Schizosaccharomyces pombe: one gene and its partner. The protein of the gene in region 2 interacts with the protein of the main gene of each other region in a pairwise test. Each region holds a gene or a part of one and is shown on either strand. Other genes may lie near its edges.

Region 1 (11,378 bases), on a different chromosome or scaffold from region 2:
CAAGAAACAATGACAAGGGAATTCCAAGCAAATGTTGGGACTCCCAGAGATGCAGAATCTACAATGGAGAAAAAGGCTTCAAGCTCTGTTGATCATTTAAAAATGACAGCTTTAGAAGTAGTAGGCAATCACTCCGCAGTTTTTGTAACTGGGCGGAAACCCTTTTTAATTTTGAGTACTCTTCACTCAAATGCCAAGTTCTTTCCTATATCCTCCAACATACCAATTTTATCTGTTGCACCTTTTCATGCACACCATGCGCCACAGGGTTATATATATGTAGATGAAAACTCATTTATTCGCATTTGCAAATTTCAAGAAGATTTTGAATACGACAATAAATGGCCTTACAAGAAAGTTTCTTTAGGAAAACAAATCAATGGAATAGCCTATCATCCTACAAAAATGGTTTATGCTGTTGGAAGTGCCGTACCGATTGAGTTTAAAGTAACTGACGAGGATGGAAACGAGCCTTATGCGATTACTGATGACAATGATTATCTTCCAATGGCCAACACCGGTTCGCTTGACCTTGTTTCCCCCTTAACGTGGACTGTTATAGATAGTTATGAATTTCAACAATTTGAGATTCCCTTATCGGTTGCTTTGGTTAACCTTGAAGTTTCTGAAACAACTAAACTGAGGAAGCCATATATCGCTGTAGGGACCTCTATCACCAAAGGTGAAGATATTGCTGTTCGCGGATCTACATATTTATTTGAAATTATTGATGTCGTGCCTCAACCCGGGCGACCAGAAACTCGTCATAAATTGAAATTAGTGACTAGAGAGGAAATTAAGGGTACAGTCGCGGTGGTATGCGAAGTTGATGGGTATTTGTTGAGTGGTCAAGGCCAAAAAGTAATTGTACGTGCTTTGGAAGACGAAGACCATTTGGTTGGCGTTTCTTTTATTGACCTTGGGAGTTATACATTGTCTGCTAAATGTTTGCGAAATTTGTTATTGTTTGGCGATGTCCGACAAAACGTAACGTTTGTCGGTTTTGCCGAAGAGCCATACAGAATGACTTTATTTTCTAAAGGTCAAGAAGCGCTCAACGTATCTGCTGCAGATTTTCTTGTGCAAGGTGAGAATTTATACTTTGTAGTGGCCGATACATCTGGAAACTTAAGATTACTTGCATATGATCCTGAAAATCCCGAATCTCATTCTGGTGAAAGACTTGTAACACGTGGAGATTTCCATATAGGAAATGTAATTACTGCTATGACGATATTGCCAAAAGAAAAAAAGCATCAAAATGCCGAGTATGGTTATGATACGGGAGATGACTTCTCTTGTGTAATGGTAAATAGTGATGGTGGACTTCAAATGCTGGTTCCGATTTCTGATCGGGTGTATCGTCGTTTGAACATTATCCAGAACTACCTTGCCAACCGTGTTAATACGATAGGCGGCCTAAATCCCAAGTCCTATCGTCTCATCACCTCCCCATCCAACTTGACTAATCCAACTCGACGAATTCTCGATGGTATGCTCATCGATTACTTTACATATATGTCAGTTGCTCATCGACATGAGATGGCTCATAAATGTGGTGTTCCAGTATCCACTATTATGAATGATCTGGTAGAGTTGGATGAAGCTTTAAGTTATATGTAATTGGGCGTAGTTATTTAAAAATTTTTTTTGCATATTTTTGAAACTAAAGGATACCATGATCTATAGCAGGATGCACTTAACAAAAACAACATAAATGATGGCAAAAGTAATAATGCAAATATTGTAAAAGGATGCTTTCATTATTAGTGTTTGAAGCTCATTTTCTCGCGAAGATTGACGTACCATATGATTTGGTAAAAGAGTAATTTACTTAACATTAGTATAAAAGCATCCTATACTTTGTATATACATGTTTGTTGACAAGGATATGATGAGTACAAGGTATGTTAACCACTGATCATTTTTACAGGCTAGGATCCTTATATATAAATACCAAATTCATATACGGTCAACGGCTTGGGAATTTTCAATTTCATTCAACCTGTGAATAGGTTAGCAAACGCTTTTATGCATTTCATTACCTATTATTATTCCTCTATGTGTTTATCTCCCAGGATAGCAATATGCGATAATTCTGACAATTATCGTGTATATACAAACAAAATTGTTAACTTGTATAAATGATCAAAATTATTAATAAAATAGATCAATTGAACATACGTGCATCATTTAATTAAGCTAGGTTATTTCATCGAAATTATTATACTATACAATATTTTATTTACATAAGACATCAATAAGTATTACAGTAAACGCACCTACATAATATTATATATGGATAGCATGAAAAATCAACGTAGTAATTTGGTATTCATAAAAAGACCTTAACATACCGTGTAGCTAATAACACAGTGCAATGTATTGTCCTGTATATTTCAATACCTTCATCTCCGTTATTCAAATACGCATAAGGTAAATCTGCATCACGTAGTAAATTGGTGAAAAGAATCAGTTAGTCATTGCTTTTCTCATATCCATCAGTCTCTCTTTTTTTAATGTTTCGGATTATTAGCAAAGCAACGTTGTTTCAAGATTCACAACGGTTCCACACTTCTATACTGTCGCCCAGATGTGCATTTCATAATGGTGGAATTTTGCATAAAAAAGCTAAGGATAAAGATGTTAAGCATGATCACGATCCAGAATTTGCTAATTCATTTAATAAAATGTTGAAAAGCTTTGAAGCAAAAATGCAATTGGTTCACGAAAAGTTGGCTAAACGATTTCAAGAGGCAGTTGTTTTACCGAGTCAAGGAAATTTCACTCAACTAGAAGCACTTTTCATACCATCCAAAAGCATAAAAGCTCCTACTCCTAGTCGTCTGCTTCGAGAAATTGCAGCTGTTAGTCAGAAAGGTTCTCAGCAAATTATTATTCGTCCATTTGAAGACGTTGACATAAAAAACATCCTAAAAGCAATTGAAGATAGCAGATACCCGTTTGTAGCTAATAAGCTGAATGCATCAACAATTGAGGTGAAGCCACAACGAACCACTTTAGAAAGTCGGCAGCAGTTGGCCAAAGTATTAGAAGGATACGCAAAAGATAGTCGAGAACAGCTGTCTGCAATGCGAACTGAATTAAAAAAAGAGATTGCAAAAAATAAGAAAAGTAAAGCTTGGACGTCCGATGATTGTTATAAAGCAGAAGCGGAAATGCAAACAGCTTTTAAAAATGCCATCAATTTGCTTGATAGCGGTTTGAAATCAGCTTTGAAAAAGGTAATATAATCTCAATTACGCCAGATTTAATATCTCTTTGTGATGTATATTCATTTCATAGTAATTTTATAAACACGACTACATTATGTTTTCGATATACCGAACAAAATTGTTGAGTAAACTCAATTAGAGGTAGCTAAAATGAATGTGAATCTATTATTTACCGAGAAAACAGTTATTGCCTGAATTGGAGGTGCCTATGTAATGTATAAAATAAAATAAAAAAAATAAGTGAAAACTCCTAAGTCAAAAAATAGCAACAAAATGACTGAAAGTGCAGTCTGATAATAAACAATGATCACAATAAATATTACAAACGGCATGTAAAGCGGGGTTCAACTTACCAAGACAATTGAAATGAACCGGAAAACGTCTATAAGTTTATCACAATTTATTGGAGGAAAATAACACCAAAGGCTCAAGCAGTACGCTGTATCCTACAAAACAAATAGCCTCGTCTAGTCGTATATATAAATCTTAACAATAAGGCGACAACAAAAAAGTCAAGAGCATATTTTTGAGAGAACCGATCAGATATGATTAAAGTCGTAATTTTTGCCATGCTCTACTCTAGGACTTTACCGCTGCGAACTTCCTTTCCAGTTTTTTTAATCGTTTGTTCTACGAGCTCATATGGTTTGTCTGTGGTAACGATAACCTCTTGTTTTTCGACCGAAATGGATTTGTCTTCAACACCTACTCGACATTACTTAATTAGTACACAGATTCATCAACAAAATTCCTGAAAAACCATATATAACAAATACTTATATAAATGTAAATCTAAATACTTAAAAAATGACTTTTTTTAAAACGCACCCAGACGAGTTAAAACGCGATCGATGGCATTTTTGCAGCCATCACAAGCCATAGCAACGTTAAATTGGTACTTCATTATCAGATGATCAAAAATTCAACGAGATTTGGACAAGAAACTGTTAATTAACTTTTTTGTAACACAAATAAAAACAGTATTTAAAATTCAAGAAAATCCCAATTTTAAGAATTACTTTAGATGAGAAGGAGGGAAACGATAAGTTGGAAAATCCATTAGTAAAAGCATTTAGACGTAATGCAAGGAGGTATCCTTAAAAAAATAACGAGAGAGATATATTTGCTATAGATGTGTGTCAGTAATAATGCACTAAGCTATGATACACTATGTTGTGTATCACTATTTGTCATTACTTTGAATACTATTTAAATTCGCTTTTGAAACATGCATGAAGGAATTTCCATTTATTAACAAGTATGTAAGCTAACAAAACAAATTCAAAGAAAAAATTTAATAAAGTTTGCGCCTAAAATTGCTTCCTTACTTCAATGACTAGTTACTAACAAATTTCTAATAAAAATAATTATAATATTACTTACTCATACATATTGCATCCGCTTTTTGTAGATTGCAAACAAAACACACCGTAGTTTTACATATCATTAAATAGTATACCGAGATACGTAGCTGATGGTTGTATCCTTTAACGAAACCATAAAAATCGTTATAAGGGTTTTATGAGGTATAGAAATGTTGTCGTTAGTTTAATTGATTCAGTAAACAAGAGCAATGCAAGCAGTGGTAATGGATGTTTCATAACGATGTCAAACACTGAGAAATTAACAATAAAAAGAAGGTGAAAGAAAATAAAAAGGATCCCGGCTCATTGACGACTTTCAGATGATTTTGCTAACTCTTCACATTCTTTACAATACCAGATCCCCTTCGGTGGTTCTACTAGACCAACGCAAGGTAAATGGAACCATTCTCTTTTACAATTTTCGTTATCACATCCAATCATTTGTCCATAGGAAACTTGTTGACAGTAACAGTAAAGTTGCTCACCTTCACGGCTGATATCACTTGAATCTAATGTGTCGTGTTTGACAAGTGGTTCCCCATTTGTCTGTTTTAAACGAGATTCTGATCTCCGCACTGGTCGCCTCTCCGTAGATTGCGGCGCATGCTTTGTACTCGATAATGGAGGTGATGATGATTTTCTAGGAACAGCATTTTTTCGACGCTTTGTAGGGGTGTGATAAGAAGATTGCGGCGATGAAGCGTCTTCAAAGTTGTTATATGAAGACGACCGTTCCTGAGAGGAATATTGCTGGGAATGCTGGTTATTTTGATGCCGACGGGTTTCCCGTCTCCTTTCAGAAGTTTGAGGAGTCACAGTAGAATGATAATTCATTAAAGCTCGATCGTCTGGATATCCCAATCTCAATTGTTGGGGAATCTCCAATTCAACATATTCAAACCCAGCATCCAAACGGTCGATACAACTCTTGATATTATTCATTGCGTCTGTGGCCAAACAAATCTTTGAATCAGAATATGGAAGTATCTCTTTTAGTGTCTTTTGTAATCGCTCACATCTTTCTTCTCCTGACAATTCGTCATTTTTCTCGTTTTTTAGAACCACACCAATTTCCTGTATGACATTTTGACGGATATCTAAGATTTTGTTAACCACACGTTTTAAAAATATATATTTCACTTACCTCGTACTTGTGCATCGATCTCTTTCAAACTCGTGAATTTTCCACATACTGATTCAGGGACTGAAACAATGGCTGTAAAATGTTAATCAATGTGTTTATTTTCGCCTCTTACCATCTGTGAAATCATTTAAAGCTGCAAATATTTCAATTCCACTCGTCCCCATGATATTGACACTAAGCACGTTACGTTGTGCTGAGTAGGAAATGTATGTCCCACCTACTTCTCTCACTTTACTACATCCCTACGTGAAATAGCAAAATTGTATGTTTAATCTATTGATAGAAAGAAGTGATTCTATTATAAGCGACGCGTTTTAATGTACCAGAATTCTAGTATAATTTCAGCACTGCTTTGAACTGTAATTTTTAACGACATTATGTTAGTTCAGGTAATATGAGCCTTCTTGTTTAACCATACATTTCCAAATAATCAATTTATTTTAGATATCGGTTCTACTACTCAGTTAGTTGCACCTTCATTATAATAGCAAATTTTGGATGTCCGAAATATTTTTCCTTTTCACAACCTTCAGTGAATTCCAGATAATTGAGAAGTACATATTAAAATTCTTACCCAAAATAGACCGAGATTTACTATATCTTAAAGCTCAATACATTCTTATTTTTCCATTCTTCTCATTTGACTTACATACGATAGTGTATATACCAATATCAAACATTAACTCAACACGCGTAATCTCAAAATTTTGCAAGTTGGATTTACTATGTATAGCTATTAATGAAAATAATGATAGGCGTAAATAGTATGGTTTATTAAATAACGGAAGCTTTCTCTTTTTTTTTTTCGAACATTCATGTGCTATTTTCCTTCCCTAAGTCTAGGGCCATAGCTTAGTATTGTACATATTAAAAATTGGAACAACCGTTCCGCGTATTAGCCTAATTATTGAATTAATTCCCGATATTGTCCGTTTCATGTTCCTGTGGCTTGTTCCTCGGACGCGTCAGCGTGCCATTTTAATATATACCAGCCCTCCCATTTCTATGTAAATATACCACACGACTATTCCTTACACACATTATGAATTCTCTACGTTCAGTAAAACGGCTTTTAGGTGCTCGCTCTTTGAGCTCTGATGGGCTCTCTGAAAGCGTTAATTCTTCTGATCGAGAGGATAGCTTGAGCTTTCAGACTCCTTCAACCCCTTCTGAAGATGAAATGCCACAATGTTTTGAAGATTTAATCAAGCCTCAAGTTCTTTCTTCAGAGGCCTCAAAGAGTTTACTTTCCCTTAATGAAGGAATTAAAATGGAAATCGTGTCCAGTTTACAGCAAAAAGACCAGAAAAAGCGAAATAAATTAATTGCTTGGATGCGTAAAAAACCATGTTACGAGCAACCTGACGACTTTATTTCGTATATTGTAAATACAAAAATTGACTCAATCGATGAATCTATCATACACAAATTAGCTCTACTTCTCAGAAACGAGCAAGTAATGTATGTTTACATTTTGTGCAGCTACGTGAATCAAAGTGGTGATGCTTAAATTATCTTTTTTTTTGGCACTACTATTGTTTTGATTGAATGATAAATCATTCGTTTATTTTGAGGTTTTTCATACTAACTGCAATACAGATGGGTAGAGAAGTTTATACACAACGGCGGTTTCGGTGTAGTATTTTGTACAATCGACAAAATCTCTCGCCTTGAATGGAGAGAGGAACTGCACGATTCTATACTGGAGCAACTTTTACTTTGCGTTAAAGCCATGTGCACTGTTCAGGTATGCATGTGATATACATTTAGACCTATGTCTTCATTGCCTTTGACAATTGCTAACGTTTTTCCTAGCGCGGATTGGAATGTTTATCTCAATCCACTTATAATGTCGAGCGATTGATTTCCCTTTTGCTTTCAAAGAAACAGCCATGTGATTTTGTCGTAAGGGAAGTACTCGTTCAAATAGTTCACTCCTTTTACAAAGCTCATCTCGACAAAGAAGAAGGTGCAATGCAAGTTTTTTCCTTGTTTTCTATTAAAGACGATAAGGATGAAGAGGTTGAATTCTTAAAAAACGTTCGAGTTGATCGACCTTTTCGCCGTTGGATTATCGAACTTGAAGATGTTAGCCGTAATGTCTTCTGGGTGTGGAACCACGATTCTAATGTCATTGATTTGGAGAAACAATATAATCAAGTGTACGAGGCTCCATTGGGGTTTATTGGTGGTATAGAAACCGAAGCCACCAGCTATGTTGCAGCTCACATCCATCTTATTAATGAATTACTCGAAGGCTTACCTTTAGAGAAACGTCAAAGAAAACGTTTGGAACTCCAGCTAAGTGGATTAGAAAGAATCATGGGGTTACGGTTTCGAAAGAGCAGGTAAGCAATTTTTTTCAATATTTATATAAGCAGGCACTTACAAATCTAGTCAAAAATTCCATAAGAAGCTACATGAAGCCCTTCGTGAATGGATAGTGGCTGCTAAAATTGATGATTGGCCATACAAACTTGTGCAAACTGGATCAACCTAACTTTACCCTAATTTTCTATGCACTACAATCATCCTATGTATATAAAAGACACTAAACACCTTAATCATTTATCAAAATACGTCTTGTCATCTACTTTACCTAACCCAATATTGGAATACTCATCGTACATTATATATTAATCGCTTAATTTTTATTTATCAATTATGGGCAATAATAAAGGTAAATCCAGAAAAGTCGAGACTTTCGTCATTTACCAATTGCAATGCCCAAGAAACATTTTCTTTATTAAAATGCTTGGATTCCCCAAATACGTTTGTAAATTGTTGAAAAAACATTTCATCCAAGATTTCAAAGACTTCAACACCTTCTGGATTAGCAACGGCTGGATACCCTTCCACAAGCATACTAATTGAGAAAGGTAATTTTTCAGAAATAGATAAACAATATACACAAATCAATATCATTAAAATATCCTGCTCATCTGTAGCGACCAATGCTTCAGCATCGGTTGAACCATAGAGACTCTCAATGGCATGCGAAAGTGGTGCAAACAAAGGATGTTGCAAGAGGAAAATAGATATCGAATTAAGGATGAGATATTGCAAAAGGTTTGGAAGAGGTTTGTAAGTTTTTTGGAGTGATTCTTCCATATAATTTTTGACATAAGTGATGGAGTCTTGAAGAATATTAATCTGACTATCGCGATAAATTTTGGCCCAAACCTGCCTTTCAGAGGTCGGAGATACTTGCGGATTTGATTTTAACAAAAGGTCAGCTCTAGAGTCGATGTACATAAGTAAAACTTCCAAGGACTTAATCTGGCCTCGTAAAGAAGGGACATAAGAAGCTAGATCACCCGTCAACAAATGCGCTGTCAATTTTCGAAGTTCAAGAGAAGAGGCAGTTACAACTGCTAAACATTGAAGAATCTTTTGAAAAATTTCCTTATCTGGGGACTTTGGCAAAAAAAATACTAAATTGCTCAACTGAAATTGGCAATCATTCTCAAGAATGGCAGCTTTTTGATCTTTATGCGGTAAATCTGGATGAATAGCTACTTTTAAAGTCACTGTATCAAATGGGTTATCAGGTAAGCAAAACCCATAGCCCATTAGTAACTCTTCGTTGCCCTTTGGACCGTAATTATTAAACAGCTGGTTGCCTTTTGCAACCAACTCTTGGGAAATTAATTGAACAGATTTTTCATCTTGAAAATCACTATTCCACAAAATTGGCTGCTTTGGTTTATGATTCAGACTGTCAATGAGAGGAAGAAGAATGGGAGTAGACTCTGAATCCTTATATATTAGATTGGATGAAAAACATCTAGATGAGAAAACAGTGGCAGACCATATATACAAATCGAAGGTAAATCTTTCTGTAGGAGATGGGTGCAAACTTAATGCTTCTTGATACTCATGCTTCCAGATATGCAAACGCTCCTGAGCAGCAGAGTACGCATTTGTGGATATCAAAAAGGCGTTATCATTTTCGTTAAAATAAAGAGGGGTGTTGAATGTTTTAGGTAGATACTCAATGTACCCGTACCACTTACTTTGTATACCCTTCAAGCTCTCCAATGCTAAAAATGTACAAAGTGTTATATGAGGATTGCAACTCTCAAAATTTGGATTCAATTTTTTTAATTCCTCTTTCGCCTTGTTATATGTTATTGCATACTCAAAAGGGCAGGATATAAGTAATTGATCAGGTGCTATATCGTTTTGTGCAACAGCAATATAACTACCAAAACAAGCGTTATCGTCTCGACTTTGGATAAATTCGACAGATTTATGAAGCTTGCAGCCATTTTGCAAGGCTTCGTGTAGTAATTTCTCCATTAAAGTAGCGTTCGTATAAAAGAAGTAAATTAGAAAAAAAAAAAAATTGTAAAATTCCAATAATCAAACCATCAAAACTGATTTTTGCTTTTTAAAAATGAAAACAGACAAAAGAAAAGTGGAAGATAAATTATACCATAAAATTAAAAAGTGGTAGCAGAGTGCCGCCTGGCTTCGCCTATTGCTCAAAGGTAAGGATTGAAATACCCTGAAACCGCATTTGGGTGTTTCTCCCACAGTTTTTAATGCGGATAACCGCCATTTGTATTGTTACAAAAAACTGTATCGATGCTAATTAGTTTAAAACGCTTGTAGTAATTTGCAATTGATAACAATTTGAAGTCTTTATACTCATAATTAGACTACAGGAAAGCGTTGTCTTTTAGAATTTAGCGTATATTGTGATTCGTGAATACATTACCCTCATTTTTTGTAAATCAATCCAGTTTTACAAATACCTTCTTTAATTTTTTCTTTTTTTTTCTTTTTTTTTGTTTACAATCGTTAGCTATTTTCTTGAAAATAGGACATTTGCTGAAAATGGATTTTCATGCGATTTCTCAACGTTTCATTGATATGATGAGAAGCAAGAATTCCCAGAACGCTTCTCAGCCTCCAGAGACATATCCCTTTTATCATGAAGTACGTCAAATGTCACAACACCCGTGGATGTATGAAGACCCAGAGTTGCAGGATTATGCTCTTAGCATTTTACCACTTGACAAACTATTTCAAGATGCTTCTGAATTAGAAAAAGAGGGAGATGGATCTTGGGGTTACCAAGATTATGTGATTCAAGCCTTGTTAAAGTGGTTCAAGCGAGAATTCTTTGTTTGGGTTAATCAACCACCTTGCGAAAAATGTGGAGTATGTTTTATGATTGACGGTGTAGTCAATTTTTTGTTCTTTATCCGTACGATATAGAATATTGACAATGTGTAGGGTGAAACTCATATGACAGGCAACGGTCCCCCCAATGAGGAAGAAAAATGGAATGGAGTCCGCAACGTAGAGCTTTATCAATGCAATGTATGCGGGCATAATCAGAGATTTCCCAGGTATAATCGCATTCGAGCATTGCTTGATTCAAGGAAGGGAAGATGTGGAGAGTGGGCCAACGTGAGTTAAAAATATTTATAAATATATAAAGCTAACATTTTCTTAGTGTTTCACTTTCCTATGCAGAGCACTTGGATCTAGAGCTAGGTGGATTTGGAATGCTGAGGACCATGTGTGGACGGAAGTCTATAGTAATAAACAGCAACGCTGGGTGCATGTCGATAGTGGTGAAGAATCATTCGATGAACCTTTGATATACGAACAAGGTAGAGT
Region 2 (13,786 bases):
TACTAGGAAACGTTACGAAATGGTATTACAAGCTGAACTTCCAGACTTCAAGTGCTCAATACCCTGTCTAATCGATACGGGCGCTCAAGCAAATATTATAACAGAAGAAACTGTTCGAGCACATAAACTGCCTACCAGACCCTGGTCAAAAAGTGTGATATATGGTGGAGTTTATCCAAATAAGATTAATCGCAAAACAATAAAACTTAACATAAGTCTAAATGGAATATCAATCAAAACAGAATTCTTGGTTGTAAAGAAATTTTCGCATCCAGCTGCTATCTCCTTCACAACATTATATGACAATAACATTGAAATATCTAGCAGTAAACACACGCTCTCTCAAATGAACAAAGTTTCAAACATTGTCAAGGAACCTGAGTTACCAGATATCTATAAAGAATTCAAAGACATTACTGCAGAAACCAATACGGAAAAGCTACCAAAGCCAATAAAAGGGTTAGAATTTGAAGTTGAACTAACTCAAGAAAACTACAGATTACCTATCAGAAATTACCCGCTACCACCGGGAAAAATGCAAGCTATGAATGATGAAATTAATCAAGGATTAAAAAGTGGAATTATACGAGAATCTAAAGCCATTAACGCCTGTCCAGTAATGTTCGTTCCGAAAAAGGAAGGCACCTTGAGAATGGTGGTTGACTACAAACCTTTAAATAAGTATGTCAAACCCAATATATATCCGTTACCACTTATTGAACAATTACTTGCTAAAATACAAGGTTCTACAATTTTTACTAAACTTGACCTCAAAAGTGCCTATCACTTGATACGAGTAAGAAAAGGAGAATGTCAGCAATACTACACTACGCTATAATACACTACGTTGAGTATCACTATATGTCACATGTTCTAATTATATATCGTACCATGTATGATACGATATGGAGATTGATCTTAATGATAATCTATTAAGATCAATATTATCTGAATACTATAAATAGAGCTACTGCTGAACCTCGTGGAGTTTTTGAATATCTAGTAATGCCTTATGGCATATCTACAGCTCCAGCACATTTTCAATACTTTATCAATACAATACTTGGTGAAGCCAAAGAATCACATGTAGTATGTTATATGGATGATATTTTAATTCATTCAAAATCGGAATCTGAACATGTAAAACATGTTAAAGACGTTCTACAGAAATTGAAAAATGCGAACTTAATTATCAATCAAGCAAAATGTGAATTTCACCAATCACAAGTAAAATTTATAGGGTATCACATTTCGGAAAAAGGATTTACGCCTTGTCAAGAAAATATAGACAAAGTCTTACAATGGAAGCAACCTAAGAATCGTAAAGAATCGTGGACAATATTAAAGTAAAACCAACTTAGAGCTTAAGAAAAAAAAATTAGAACGAAGGTAAAAAAAATTTCGTCTTTTCAGTGAAAGCACTGATTTGTTTGCTTTTTAGAAATACAACCTTGACAGATGCCCTGCTTAAAAAAAGAAAACCCCCAATTTTAGCAATAGCGAAATATTAAATATATATAAATATAACGCTTTGCCTTCTAAAAATCTTTTTTCTAAATAAAGAAACAAAGTAAACACGGGACTTCGCTTGACAAGAATAGAACCCTCCTTTTGTTAATTTGTCTAATGTTGAATGCGGAGCTCAGAGTAACAAAATAGATTCGCTTAGACGAGGCTTAATTTAACTCTAATTTTTAATATTTTTGAAATTGAGTTGTGTTTTGGGTAATGAGGAAGCAGATACATCCATAAACCGAATAGTCTCAATAACATTTTATGAGATATTGTCAACTTTTTGAAGCCACTGTTATTTTTAGTGAAAGAAATTGTGATAGAAACGAGAAACCTTTGATTTGGAAAACTGATTCGCAAATCAATGAAAGATCAGAAATGTCAGCTATCGTATTTTATACAAATTTTGTGCTATAGCTAGTAAACCACTTAATGTCCAATAATTCCATCTTGACCCTTTTTTTTTTTAATCTAGAGCTTGATGCGCAAATATGCAAATTATTGTTCTTGCATCTCCGATGGAGATGCATATTTATTATACTGACTAAGCATCTCAGTTTCATAATTTTAGAGTTAAAAAACGCTTCCTGTAATTTGTTAAGATCATTAAAATTGTATATACAAAACTTAGTGTCTCATCAAATTGCTTTGAATTGAAAACATTGTGGCAGATAATAAAACAAAGATTTATCTTGTGCTTTCAATATTCAAGCGATTCCCCATAGTTGATACCTTACCACCAATTTAAAAAGCGTCGATCCGGAATTGGTGTTTTGTGAAGTATCAAATTTTTTGCCCATCTATTCGGAACGCTAACCGGCGTAGACTAGGTCTACATTGCACGGGGAACAGGCTAAACGGAATAATGAAATTTCAACTGGGCTGAACGGAATCAAAGAATTCATCACATGTTGGTAAAGTAAAAATTTAGGACTATATCAGGTGTTTCTCGGTTATGCTATACGTTTTTTCAATAAACGTTTTGTGATGTTCTAATAACAATTAGCTGCACTTAATCACAGTTTGAAGTCCCAAACTTTGATGCTTAGAAGTAACTGCGCATCCTTAGTTATCCGATGAACTAAAAATGAGCAACCATTGTTAATTTTCGCCTTATCTAGATGATTTAGAAAATTTTAAGGACGCAATATAGTCAAAAAAGAAATCTAAAAATAACCAGAAAGAATTAAGTTCTTAGTATGTGCTAAAATTTCTAGCTTTTGCATTATCGCAATATCATCCTTGTTTCTTCTCTGCGATGAAAATTTTAAGCGAATTTCACGGCCAACTTTCAATGGGTATTGAATCTTCACATTCGACTTGAGATAAAATCAAAGAGTGCTTTCAAATAGATTGCAGGTTTGCCTCTCTCAAATTCAATGTGGTTATTTCTACTCTTGTAAATTGGTAGTTATTGGAATCCAACTAGCTCCTTCGGATGCGCAAAATCTATTATGCTGTTGAATTGAAATACTATTCTAGCTGTATAAAAATCCAAAGTGAATCGCTTTCAAGAGAAAGTGAGGAATCCTTTGTAGAGTAATGAATAAGAAGAAGGAAATTTTACCCTCGGTCGATACAAAATTTCTGATGTGCTAGTATAAGTTATGTATTGTTTTCACATCCTAAAATGTAAACAAGGGTTTCCACCTTTTAAAAATCATTACTAAAAATTAAAAAAATAAAATAAAAATAAATTGATAAATTCGTAACCAAAAAATTAGACAAGCAGAAAGAAGTTGAGTGTTTTTCAACACTGTTCTTCCATATGAAACGTCTTTGATTAGATATATAATTTCAATTCTAATTTACATTGCGAACTTATTTACTCACAGTGAAGTATTTCAATCTCTTATTTATTATGCTCAAAAAAATATTTTTTTCTATTTAGTGAATTTCTTTCGCACTCACTATTTTTTTGCATTTATATGAATTTGGCGATTGTAATAATTAGCAATATCTTTTTCTTTTTCTTTTTTATGCTTTTTAAAAACCAATGCAAGAGTTAGCTGTACTCCTACATGAATGCATCTACCTATGTTGAATTCAATTTGTCTTAAAAGGAAACGTAAAGCATCTCGGAAAACCCAATTACTGCATTGCATCGCTTATAACTGGAAATCTATTTATCATATAATAGAGTGCTTTCCCTTGATAAATATTAACGAAGTAATGTTCTGGTGAACACTATAACTTTTTTATAGCCTAATTCTGAATGTGTTTATAATTTACAATATTCACTTAATGTTAATGGTTTTCATATACTACTTGCATTGTAATTTTTACTATAAAAATTGTTAATTGGTTCATCGGCAGCTATTTTTTGAAAAAATGTCGATTGTGCCAGCCCACTTTTAGTACCGTATGATGCGCTACTTCTGCCGAAGTTTCGATCCTTGGAAAAGACCTAAGAAAAAAATAATAAAATAAATAAAAAAAAAGGCAGAAAACCCAAATAACATGTTCATATATATATATAAGAAAAAATAAATAAAAATAAGAAAAAAATATTAAAGCACAATTCGATCAACGATATATGATAAATGTAATAGATTAGAATAAAAGAAAATACCAATTCTTCACTTTCTTTAACCGCGGCAAAATGAAGGTTAAGGCCGATGTAAAGCTGTTTTGACATTGATGATGACCTAAATATTCTAATTCGTTCAAAAGAACTTTATGCCATACAATTTTGACAAAGTTCTATAACATAACAATTGCAGGAATCATTGCCGCATGCCCCTAACATACTCCCTGTGTTTTCACAAATCAAAATATGTCAGTTGATGATGCTTTGCAAACACAATAAATATGTACCATTTTCCCTGAGAAAGTACCTAGACAATATACTTAGAGGAATGATGTGAATATCCCAACCACCTTTACAGGTAGTATTTTGTAGCGGATTTCGGATGTTAGTCGTAATGGTCAAATGTCTAACCATCTTGTCACTTTTCGTATGATAATTTTTGATAAGATAAAATAGGCAGGTTGTATGATTCGAAAAATCAAATAGTCACGGTCTTAGGGGTACCTGATCTGACGGTTAGACATGAGAGCCCTGGTCTAGAAATGCAAGAGCAGGTTAATATGATCTTATTTGAAAGAATATTGGATCGTTTTATGGGAACGTTAGAAGGTTTTAGTGTCTTTTCATTCGCACACTGGTGGCCCACCATGTGATCACGTCTACATTTCTGCCTTGCAGTATTGCTACGTTTGTGAAAGTCTTACTTCTGTGATGTATAAAAAGTCATGGGCAAGGCGACTCTGTCAGGATCGACTGTTGCTATAAGTCTGTTTTGTCGTGGTATTCAGAAATAGAAACATATCTCTCTGCAACTTTAAAGTAACCCTTGAACTTATTCTTTTCTTAGAAATTTACTCTCTCCGAGTCTATTAGTATTGTGTTTTTCTCGTTTAAAATGCTTACTCAAAGTTTGTTTTTGACAGTATTGACATTAGCTTTGTCTCTGGTCTCCAAAACAAGCGCAAGCCAGTGTTCACCCAGATATGGGACTTGCGGAGGTATTTACTATGATGGCCCCACGTGTTGTGTAGTAGGTAGTTCTTGTATCTATTCAAATCCCTGGTATTCGCAATGTATCCCAGTTGATTATACAGGACCCTGTGCAAAGTTATATCAACAGTGCGGCGGCATCAATTACAATGGCCCAACTTGCTGTGAGCCAGGATCCGAATGTATTTACAATGGTCCATATTATTCTCAATGTATTCCAGTTGATATCGATCCTTCTTCATCTAGCTCTAGTGCTGCTTCTTCCACCACATCGACTACATCCAGCTCCAGCCTTGTGTCGTCTACTACTTTGACTTCATCCAGCCCTAGCGCTGTATCCTCCACTACCTCAATCCCTTCTATTTCTAGCACTATTTCTTCCAGTGTGTCGACAAGCAGTTTCACTAGTCTCTCTAGCAGCGGTTTTTCCACTGTACTATCTAGTACCAATACAACTTCTGCTTTGCCATCATCTGGCTGGAATGTTACCGGCTATTAATTTGACAGCCATAGAATAACTGTAAACGATTCAACATACCAATCGTTTGGAGCTATTTTATTGAATTTTACGATGTGTATTATGTTTCGCGTTTGATGGATATGAATAAATTAACTTTATTTTATTTTATTTTTTTTTTGGCTTTAGGAAAATGGATATTAGAAAAAGAAGACAACTGTAATTACTATTGTCAATATCAATTGAAATTTCAATATTTGTTATTCTCATTGATTTTTAAATTCGGTTGGGAAAGGCATTATCCTTGACTAAGTTCAATGCGGATAGATTATGCTTGCCTTAGTAGAAGATATTAATAAAACGTTTTAAGTATAATCAATTTCGTAAAGATTAAGCACATTCAATACTTCGTCAATAATAAATACTAAGAAGAAAATTTAAGGAATAATGATATATGTATTGTTGGATTTGACAGTTAGCTAGTATTTAATACACTGATTAACCAAAAACTAAACATCACTTCTTATTCCAATAAAAAGCTGATTCATGGCTTTCTCATTATATGTACATCTACGTTCCAAAATGGTTTCGGGTCATTCAATCAATATCTGAATCTCTAAAAGAAGTGATCACCTTTATGTTTTTCGCAAAATTTCTCTCCAAATGCAAATTCAGAAGTGGCATCTGTTAGACTCTTCATCATATCCATCATGTGTAAATTACCATGATGGTGTGCCTGCTTCACCTCAGAGGTAGTAACATTCTTCGAAGGGGGTACGTCAAGAGCTGGGTTGCGAAGGAAGAAATTACGAGGACGTAATAAAAGACGAATGGGTTCTGCAGGCATCAATGGGAAATCTTCAGGAGCAGGGAAGTGAGTAATTCCAAAAGTGTGCCAAACAACGATATCCGTGTTATCAACCGAAGCGTCTGGCTCTTCAGCAATCCATTCAGGCAAACCTTTAGTTGGTTCGCCAGATGTTTGAGGGACATAGTCACCGGCAGGATAAATTTGCCCATCTTTGTATGGCGTAACATGGATGTGGTGACGAGCAAAACCTGCACGATTTGATACCAAAGATCCTGGACGGGCCATCAAGCGTGGAGTTTCTCGAGATACAAGCTTATATGAAACTGGCTTGCCTGAATATGGGTGCAACTTATTTGGGTTACATATATCCCACGTTCTGCTTGTATCACTATTGTAATCACAGATGGCTTCTTTAACAGTTTTAGGTACCGTACGCTCAGTGGTGAAAGCATTTCCATAATAATTCTCTTTGGATCCAGGCTCACCAGGACCACTTACACCGTCTACAACAGCAACCGAATTGCTGTATCCATCTAACATTGGATTAAGACGGAGACAAAACAAATGTTGATGGTTGTGTGCATTAACCTGAGGATAAACTTGGGTACCCCAACCTTTTAGATCCTCCCCTTCATTCATAGCATACGTGTTCAATATACCGGTTAACTTAAGCTCGCATTCGATAACACCATCCATATGGAAAATCCAGTATACCATATACTCATAGTTAGCAGCAGTAAAGATTTGGGAAATTACCAATCTAATGCCGCGTGCAGAAATAGTAGTACGGAATTTGTCACGAAAGTCGGAATGCTTAAACAAAACACCATCATCCTCTTCATGAATGCAAATAGCATTTTTAACGGTTTCCACCTCACCAGTATTGTTCACAAAGTGAGCATCTAAATAATGAATAACACCCTTACAGTCGCATCCAAGAGCAAGGGGATTAGTCAAGTAACCAGCACCGTATTCACCTAAGTCAAAGGCGTGTTTTCGCTGATGAGGGTGCTCAGGATTACCATAAGGAACCACCATCTCAGCGATTGACATACGATAGAAGAGAGGACGAATGTGGCCATTGTCATTATAAGATATATCCGATAACACAATACCTTCGCGATAATTAAATCCAATATGCATACGGAAGTTTTGCCATTCAATGTAACGACCCTTCATGCGGAAATTGACGCCCTCAGGCTGGGTAACGGAGATTGGTTTCACTTCACGCATCTTACCCAACTCGGCCTCAATATCCTTCTTATTGAAATTGGAATGCTTGTGCTTAGATAGAGGACGACGAACGGGTGGGATGTCGATAGCAACGACTTTCTGATCTTCAGTATCGATGATGGGACAAAAGTCCAAGGGGTGCGAATACTGAGAATCGTCTTCATTAGAACGGTAGTACATCATAGCTTGTTGCATGCGTCGTGTATTTCCATAGCGCTCATCATATCCAATAGTCCATGGATCGCAATAAACATGATCCATTTGATCAGGAGGCACCCCCGACAAAATACATTGCTCAATAACAGCAGGATCCTTACGTACAATTTGTTCAGTATTTACAAGCATGTCAGCTGTAAGGATCGGGCAAACTCCAGTAATATGCTCAATTTGAATAACCTCTGCTTTAGTCAAGTTGACCCGCGCTTCCAAAATACCTGGCACGCCCTTTTCGAGTAGGACAGCCAACGCAATTCGCTCGGGCTTGTGAGCGTCTTCCTTGGAGTATTTCCAATGCAAGTACTTCGCTTTCGGGGGTTCCTCCAGAGTAACTACATTGAACGCGAAGTGCTTGGAAGGATACTCATGACGGATAATTTCAACAGCGAGTTTTAGCTCGTCTGCAGACAGCGGATCCAAAGGATCGCTAAGGCGTTCACCGGGAACGGAAGTATGGTGATGATGATGATAGGGAAGGTGAGGATAATAAGCCATATTCAACAGCTAGCTAAGGGATATCGTATGTATATATATATATATATATATATATGAAAATATATAAATTTTAGATAACTAAGATTATAAATAAACAAGACAGAAAGCAACACGATGCGAAACTAGAGAAAAGAAGAAATTAAAAAAAAAAAAAGCAACTTAAAATATTAACAAATTATCGCCTTATCTCTTAGACTTTTTTTCGGCTGTGAAACTGAGAGTGATAGCCAAATATGCAGAAATCGCTTTCAATAATAAGGGTTTATATGGTTAAGTATGATTTCGATCGGATCGAGGGATGTATGTGACTTTACAAATCTTTACGAGCCTAGATTCAAAGAAATCAACTTATGCTTGAATTTGAAAAACAATAACACTAATTGACGTTCCCATCTATTTTATTTATAACAATGATCTCAATGTCAACATGCTCGACACTTTATCTATTCAGTCAAATAACTTCGTTTAGCCGATTAATCAAACCCTTAAGGATCAATGATACATTGATTCGTTGTAAATATCCCATATTAGCCGGTTTCTCATGTTTATCTTGCATGTCTCTTAGATAATTCCTGATGTTATTCAGCATCTAATACACTTCCCTATCTATAATGTAAGAGAAAATACTCGATACCAGCTTGCGCCGTTCACAAATCGGTTTCCAGCCTCATTGGGCATAATGCTTTTTAATCACCGATATACACTTTATCTGTCGGGTTCGATAATCCTACTTAACAGGATTGTTCACTATAGTGCACGCCCCTTACAGAAGGGATGAGACCTATCGATATTGAAAACGGAGGCAAACGTATTCATTCAAGTCATTTGTTGGTTGATGAATTAAATAAGAAAATATCAGTCAGTATAAGGCTCCTAGTAACTTAGATAAAAAAAAATGTCAAATTAGTATATTAAACCATTCTAAGATACTAAAATACGAGGTACACGCATTAGAAATTAATACCAGGACTTGCAGAAGAGTCTTCTAAAGCAATCTCTCCTTGAAAATAGTTTAGGCAAAGTGCAAGTGCAAAACATTGTTTACATCTTATTTTGAAACGCGTCTGTCTTTGTTTTGTCAGCAATACTACACTACGCTATAATACACTACGTTGAGTATCACTATATGTCACATGTTCTAATTATATATCGTACCATGTATGATACGATATGGAGATTGATCTTAATGATAATCTATTAAGATCAATATTATCTGAATACTATAAATAGAGCTACTGCTGAACCTCGTTCCTCAGTTCAGTTATGAGCTATATTAGTGATAGGTAACATTATAACCCAGTTAATACAATACCTATACTCAGTTGCTACTTATACAACCTGTGTATCGTAATATAATAGATCACAAGGAAAACTCACCGCAGTTCTACGTATCCTTAAATCAGATACCAAACTGCGTAGCTTACAATAACTGAACTCTTGTGATCTACAATTAACTCCTTTTAGGAAAAAGGAATTATTGAATAAATATATATCATAAATATATATATTTCTCTCCTTCTGGGTTCAAAGGAGAAGGAACTTTGGAAGGACTGTTATCCCTTTTGAAATCTCCCAAAGGGAAACATATACAATGTCCTACGCAAATTATCGTTATATGAAAGCAAGAGCAAAACGATGGAGACCAGAGAATTTGGATGGAATTCAAACATCAGACGAACATTTAATAAACCTTTTTGCAAAAATATTATCGAAGCATGTACCAGAGATAGGGAAATTCGATCCAAATAAGGATGTTGAAAGTTACATTTCAAAACTTGATCAACACTTTACTGAATACCCTTCATTATTCCCAAATGAGCATACTAAAAGACAGTATACATTGAATCACCTAGAAGAATTAGAGCAACAATTCGCTGAACGCATGTTTTCTGAGAATGGAAGTCTTACATGGCAAGAATTACTCAGACAAACAGGGAAAGTACAAGGATCCAACAAAGGTGATCGTTTAACTAAAACATTTGAAGGTTTTAGAAATCAATTGGACAAAGTTCAATTTATAAGGAAACTCATGTCAAAAGCAAATGTTGATGATTTCCATACTCGCTTGTTTATATTATGGATGCTGCCATATTCCTTAAGGAAATTAAAGGAAAGAAATTACTGGAAATCAGAAATCAGTGAAATTTATGACTTTTTAGAGGACAAAAGAACAGCCTCGTATGGTAAAACTCACAAGCGTTTTCAACCGCAAAATAAAAATCTAGGAAAAGAGTCCCTTTCAAAGAAAAATAACACCACTAATAGCAGAAACCTGAGGAAGACAAATGTTTCGAGAATAGAATACTCATCTAACAAATTCCTAAATCATACTAGGAAACGTTACGAAATGGTATTACAAGCTGAACTTCCAGACTTCAAGTGCTCAATACCCTGTCTAATCGATACGGGCGCTCAAGCAAATATTATAACAGAAGAAACTGTTCGAGCACATAAACTGCCTACCAGACCCTGGTCAAAAAGTGTGATATATGGTGGAGTTTATCCAAATAAGATTAATCGCAAAACAATAAAACTTAACATAAGTCTAAATGGAATATCAATCAAAACAGAATTCTTGGTTGTAAAGAAATTTTCGCATCCAGCTGCTATCTCCTTCACAACATTATATGACAATAACATTGAAATATCTAGCAGTAAACACACGCTCTCTCAAATGAACAAAGTTTCAAATATTGTCAAGGAACCTGAGTTACCAGATATCTATAAAGAATTCAAAGACATTACTGCAGAAACCAATACGGAAAAGCTACCAAAGCCAATAAAAGGGTTAGAATTTGAAGTTGAACTAACTCAAGAAAACTACAGATTACCTATCAGAAATTACCCGCTACCACCGGGAAAAATGCAAGCTATGAATGATGAAATTAATCAAGGATTAAAAAGTGGAATTATACGAGAATCTAAAGCCATTAACGCCTGTCCAGTAATGTTCGTTCCGAAAAAGGAAGGCACCTTGAGAATGGTGGTTGACTACAAACCTTTAAATAAGTATGTCAAACCCAATATATATCCGTTACCACTTATTGAACAATTACTTGCTAAAATACAAGGTTCTACAATTTTTACTAAACTTGACCTCAAAAGTGCCTATCACTTGATACGAGTAAGAAAAGGAGATGAACATAAACTTGCTTTTCGCTGTCCTCGTGGAGTTTTTGAATATCTAGTAATGCCTTATGGCATATCTACAGCTCCAGCACATTTTCAATACTTTATCAATACAATACTTGGTGAAGCCAAAGAATCACATGTAGTATGTTATATGGATGATATTTTAATTCATTCAAAATCGGAATCTGAACATGTAAAACATGTTAAAGACGTTCTACAGAAATTGAAAAATGCGAACTTAATTATCAATCAAGCAAAATGTGAATTTCACCAATCACAAGTAAAATTTATAGGGTATCACATTTCGGAAAAAGGATTTACGCCTTGTCAAGAAAATATAGACAAAGTCTTACAATGGAAGCAACCTAAGAATCGTAAAGAATTACGACAATTTCTAGGTTCTGTCAATTATCTTAGGAAATTCATTCCAAAGACATCACAATTAACACATCCACTCAATAATCTTTTGAAAAAGGATGTACGCTGGAAATGGACACCAACACAAACCCAAGCGATAGAAAACATTAAACAATGTTTAGTTTCTCCTCCGGTGCTACGACACTTTGATTTCAGTAAAAAGATTCTACTGGAAACTGATGCTTCAGATGTCGCTGTAGGAGCCGTATTGTCTCAAAAACATGATGATGATAAATACTATCCTGTTGGATACTATTCAGCAAAGATGTCTAAAGCACAATTAAATTATAGCGTATCGGACAAAGAAATGCTTGCAATCATTAAGTCTCTCAAACATTGGAGACACTATTTAGAATCCACTATCGAACCTTTCAAAATTTTAACAGACCATCGAAACTTAATTGGTCGCATTACTAACGAATCCGAGCCTGAAAACAAACGTTTAGCTCGTTGGCAATTATTTTTACAAGACTTCAACTTTGAAATTAACTACAGACCTGGATCAGCAAATCACATAGCTGATGCCTTATCCAGAATTGTTGACGAAACAGAACCAATTCCAAAAGATTCAGAAGACAATAGTATCAACTTTGTTAATCAAATCTCGATAACCGATGATTTTAAAAACCAAGTGGTTACAGAATATACGAATGATACAAAATTGTTGAATTTACTAAACAATGAAGACAAACGAGTGGAAGAGAATATCCAACTCAAAGATGGCTTACTAATTAACAGTAAAGACCAAATCTTATTACCTAATGATACTCAGCTGACTAGGACAATTATTAAAAAGTATCATGAAGAAGGTAAATTGATTCATCCAGGCATTGAACTTCTTACAAACATTATATTACGTAGATTTACGTGGAAAGGAATAAGAAAACAAATACAAGAATATGTACAGAACTGCCATACATGTCAAATAAACAAATCTAGGAATCATAAACCTTATGGACCTTTACAACCAATTCCCCCATCAGAAAGACCTTGGGAATCTTTATCAATGGATTTTATTACAGCTTTACCAGAATCATCTGGTTATAATGCACTTTTCGTGGTAGTTGACCGATTTTCAAAAATGGCAATCTTAGTACCTTGTACGAAATCCATTACAGCAGAGCAAACAGCTCGAATGTTTGATCAACGAGTTATTGCTTATTTCGGCAATCCAAAAGAAATCATTGCAGATAATGATCATATTTTTACTTCCCAAACGTGGAAAGATTTCGCACATAAATATAATTTCGTTATGAAATTTTCGTTACCATACAGACCACAAACTGATGGACAAACTGAGCGTACAAACCAAACTGTGGAGAAATTACTAAGATGTGTATGTAGCACACATCCAAATACATGGGTAGATCATATATCCCTAGTGCAACAATCTTACAACAATGCGATACATTCAGCAACTCAAATGACACCTTTTGAGATAGTACATCGCTATTCACCAGCTTTATCACCTTTAGAGTTACCTAGCTTTAGTGACAAAACTGACGAAAACTCTCAGGAAACGATCCAAGTATTTCAAACAGTTAAAGAACACTTGAATACAAACAACATAAAGATGAAAAAGTATTTCGATATGAAAATACAAGAAATTGAAGAATTTCAACCTGGAGACCTAGTTATGGTCAAAAGAACGAAAACAGGTTTTCTTCATAAATCCAATAAATTAGCACCTAGTTTTGCAGGACCGTTCTATGTGTTACAGAAGTCGGGTCCAAACAACTATGAATTGGATCTTCCAGATTCAATCAAGCACATGTTTTCATCTACTTTTCATGTTTCTCACCTAGAAAAGTATCGACATAATTCAGAACTCAATTACGCTACCATTGATGAGTCTGATATTGGAACAATTCTTCATATCCTAGAACATAAAAACAGAGAACAAGTACTCTACTTAAATGTCAAGTACATTTCGAATCTAAATCCGAGTACTATTATGTCAGGATGGACTACATTAGCTACAGCGCTACAAGCG

The links.
Region 1: the proteins of cao1 (region 2) and atx1 interact in a two-hybrid assay, tested with the Schizosaccharomyces pombe proteins (one study listed by BioGRID).

The regions. Positions count from the first base shown.
Region 1 is NC_003423.3:1,116,042-1,127,419, forward strand, and holds atx1 (Cu chaperone Atx1), read right to left. Parts: upstream 4,281-11,378; 5' UTR 4,141-4,280; coding exon 4,065-4,140; exon of another isoform or gene 3,947-4,064; intron 3,942-3,946; coding exon 3,811-3,941; 3' UTR 3,346-3,810; downstream 1-3,345. Other genes in the region: mRNA processing protein Cft1, read left to right, coding at 1-1,623; translation termination factor Rrf1, read left to right, coding at 2,520-3,254; chromatin modification family protein Png2, read right to left, coding at 4,904-5,697, 5,745-5,816, 5,857-5,908; GTPase-binding protein Rid1, read left to right, coding at 6,787-7,205, 7,344-7,491, 7,560-8,092, 8,142-8,244; ribosomal lysine methyltransferase Set10, read right to left, coding at 8,403-10,046; ngl1 (peptide N-glycanase), read left to right, coding at 10,587-10,913, 10,989-11,165, 11,212-11,371. UniProt on the Schizosaccharomyces pombe protein: Shuttles copper to the transport ATPase ccc2. Protects against oxygen toxicity.
Region 2 is NC_003424.3:2,927,255-2,941,040, reverse strand, and holds cao1 (Cu(2+) amine oxidase Cao1), read right to left. Parts: upstream 9,270-13,786; 5' UTR 8,245-9,269; coding exon 6,106-8,244; 3' UTR 5,926-6,105; downstream 1-5,925. Other genes in the region: cbm1 (cellulose-binding domain-containing protein), read left to right, coding at 4,938-5,531; Tf2-3 (retrotransposable element/transposon Tf2-type), read left to right, coding at 9,836-13,786. UniProt on the Schizosaccharomyces pombe protein: Copper amine oxidase involved in the metabolism of xenobiotic and biogenic amines. Capable of catalyzing the oxidative deamination of primary amines such as ethylamine as alternate sources of nitrogen to support growth.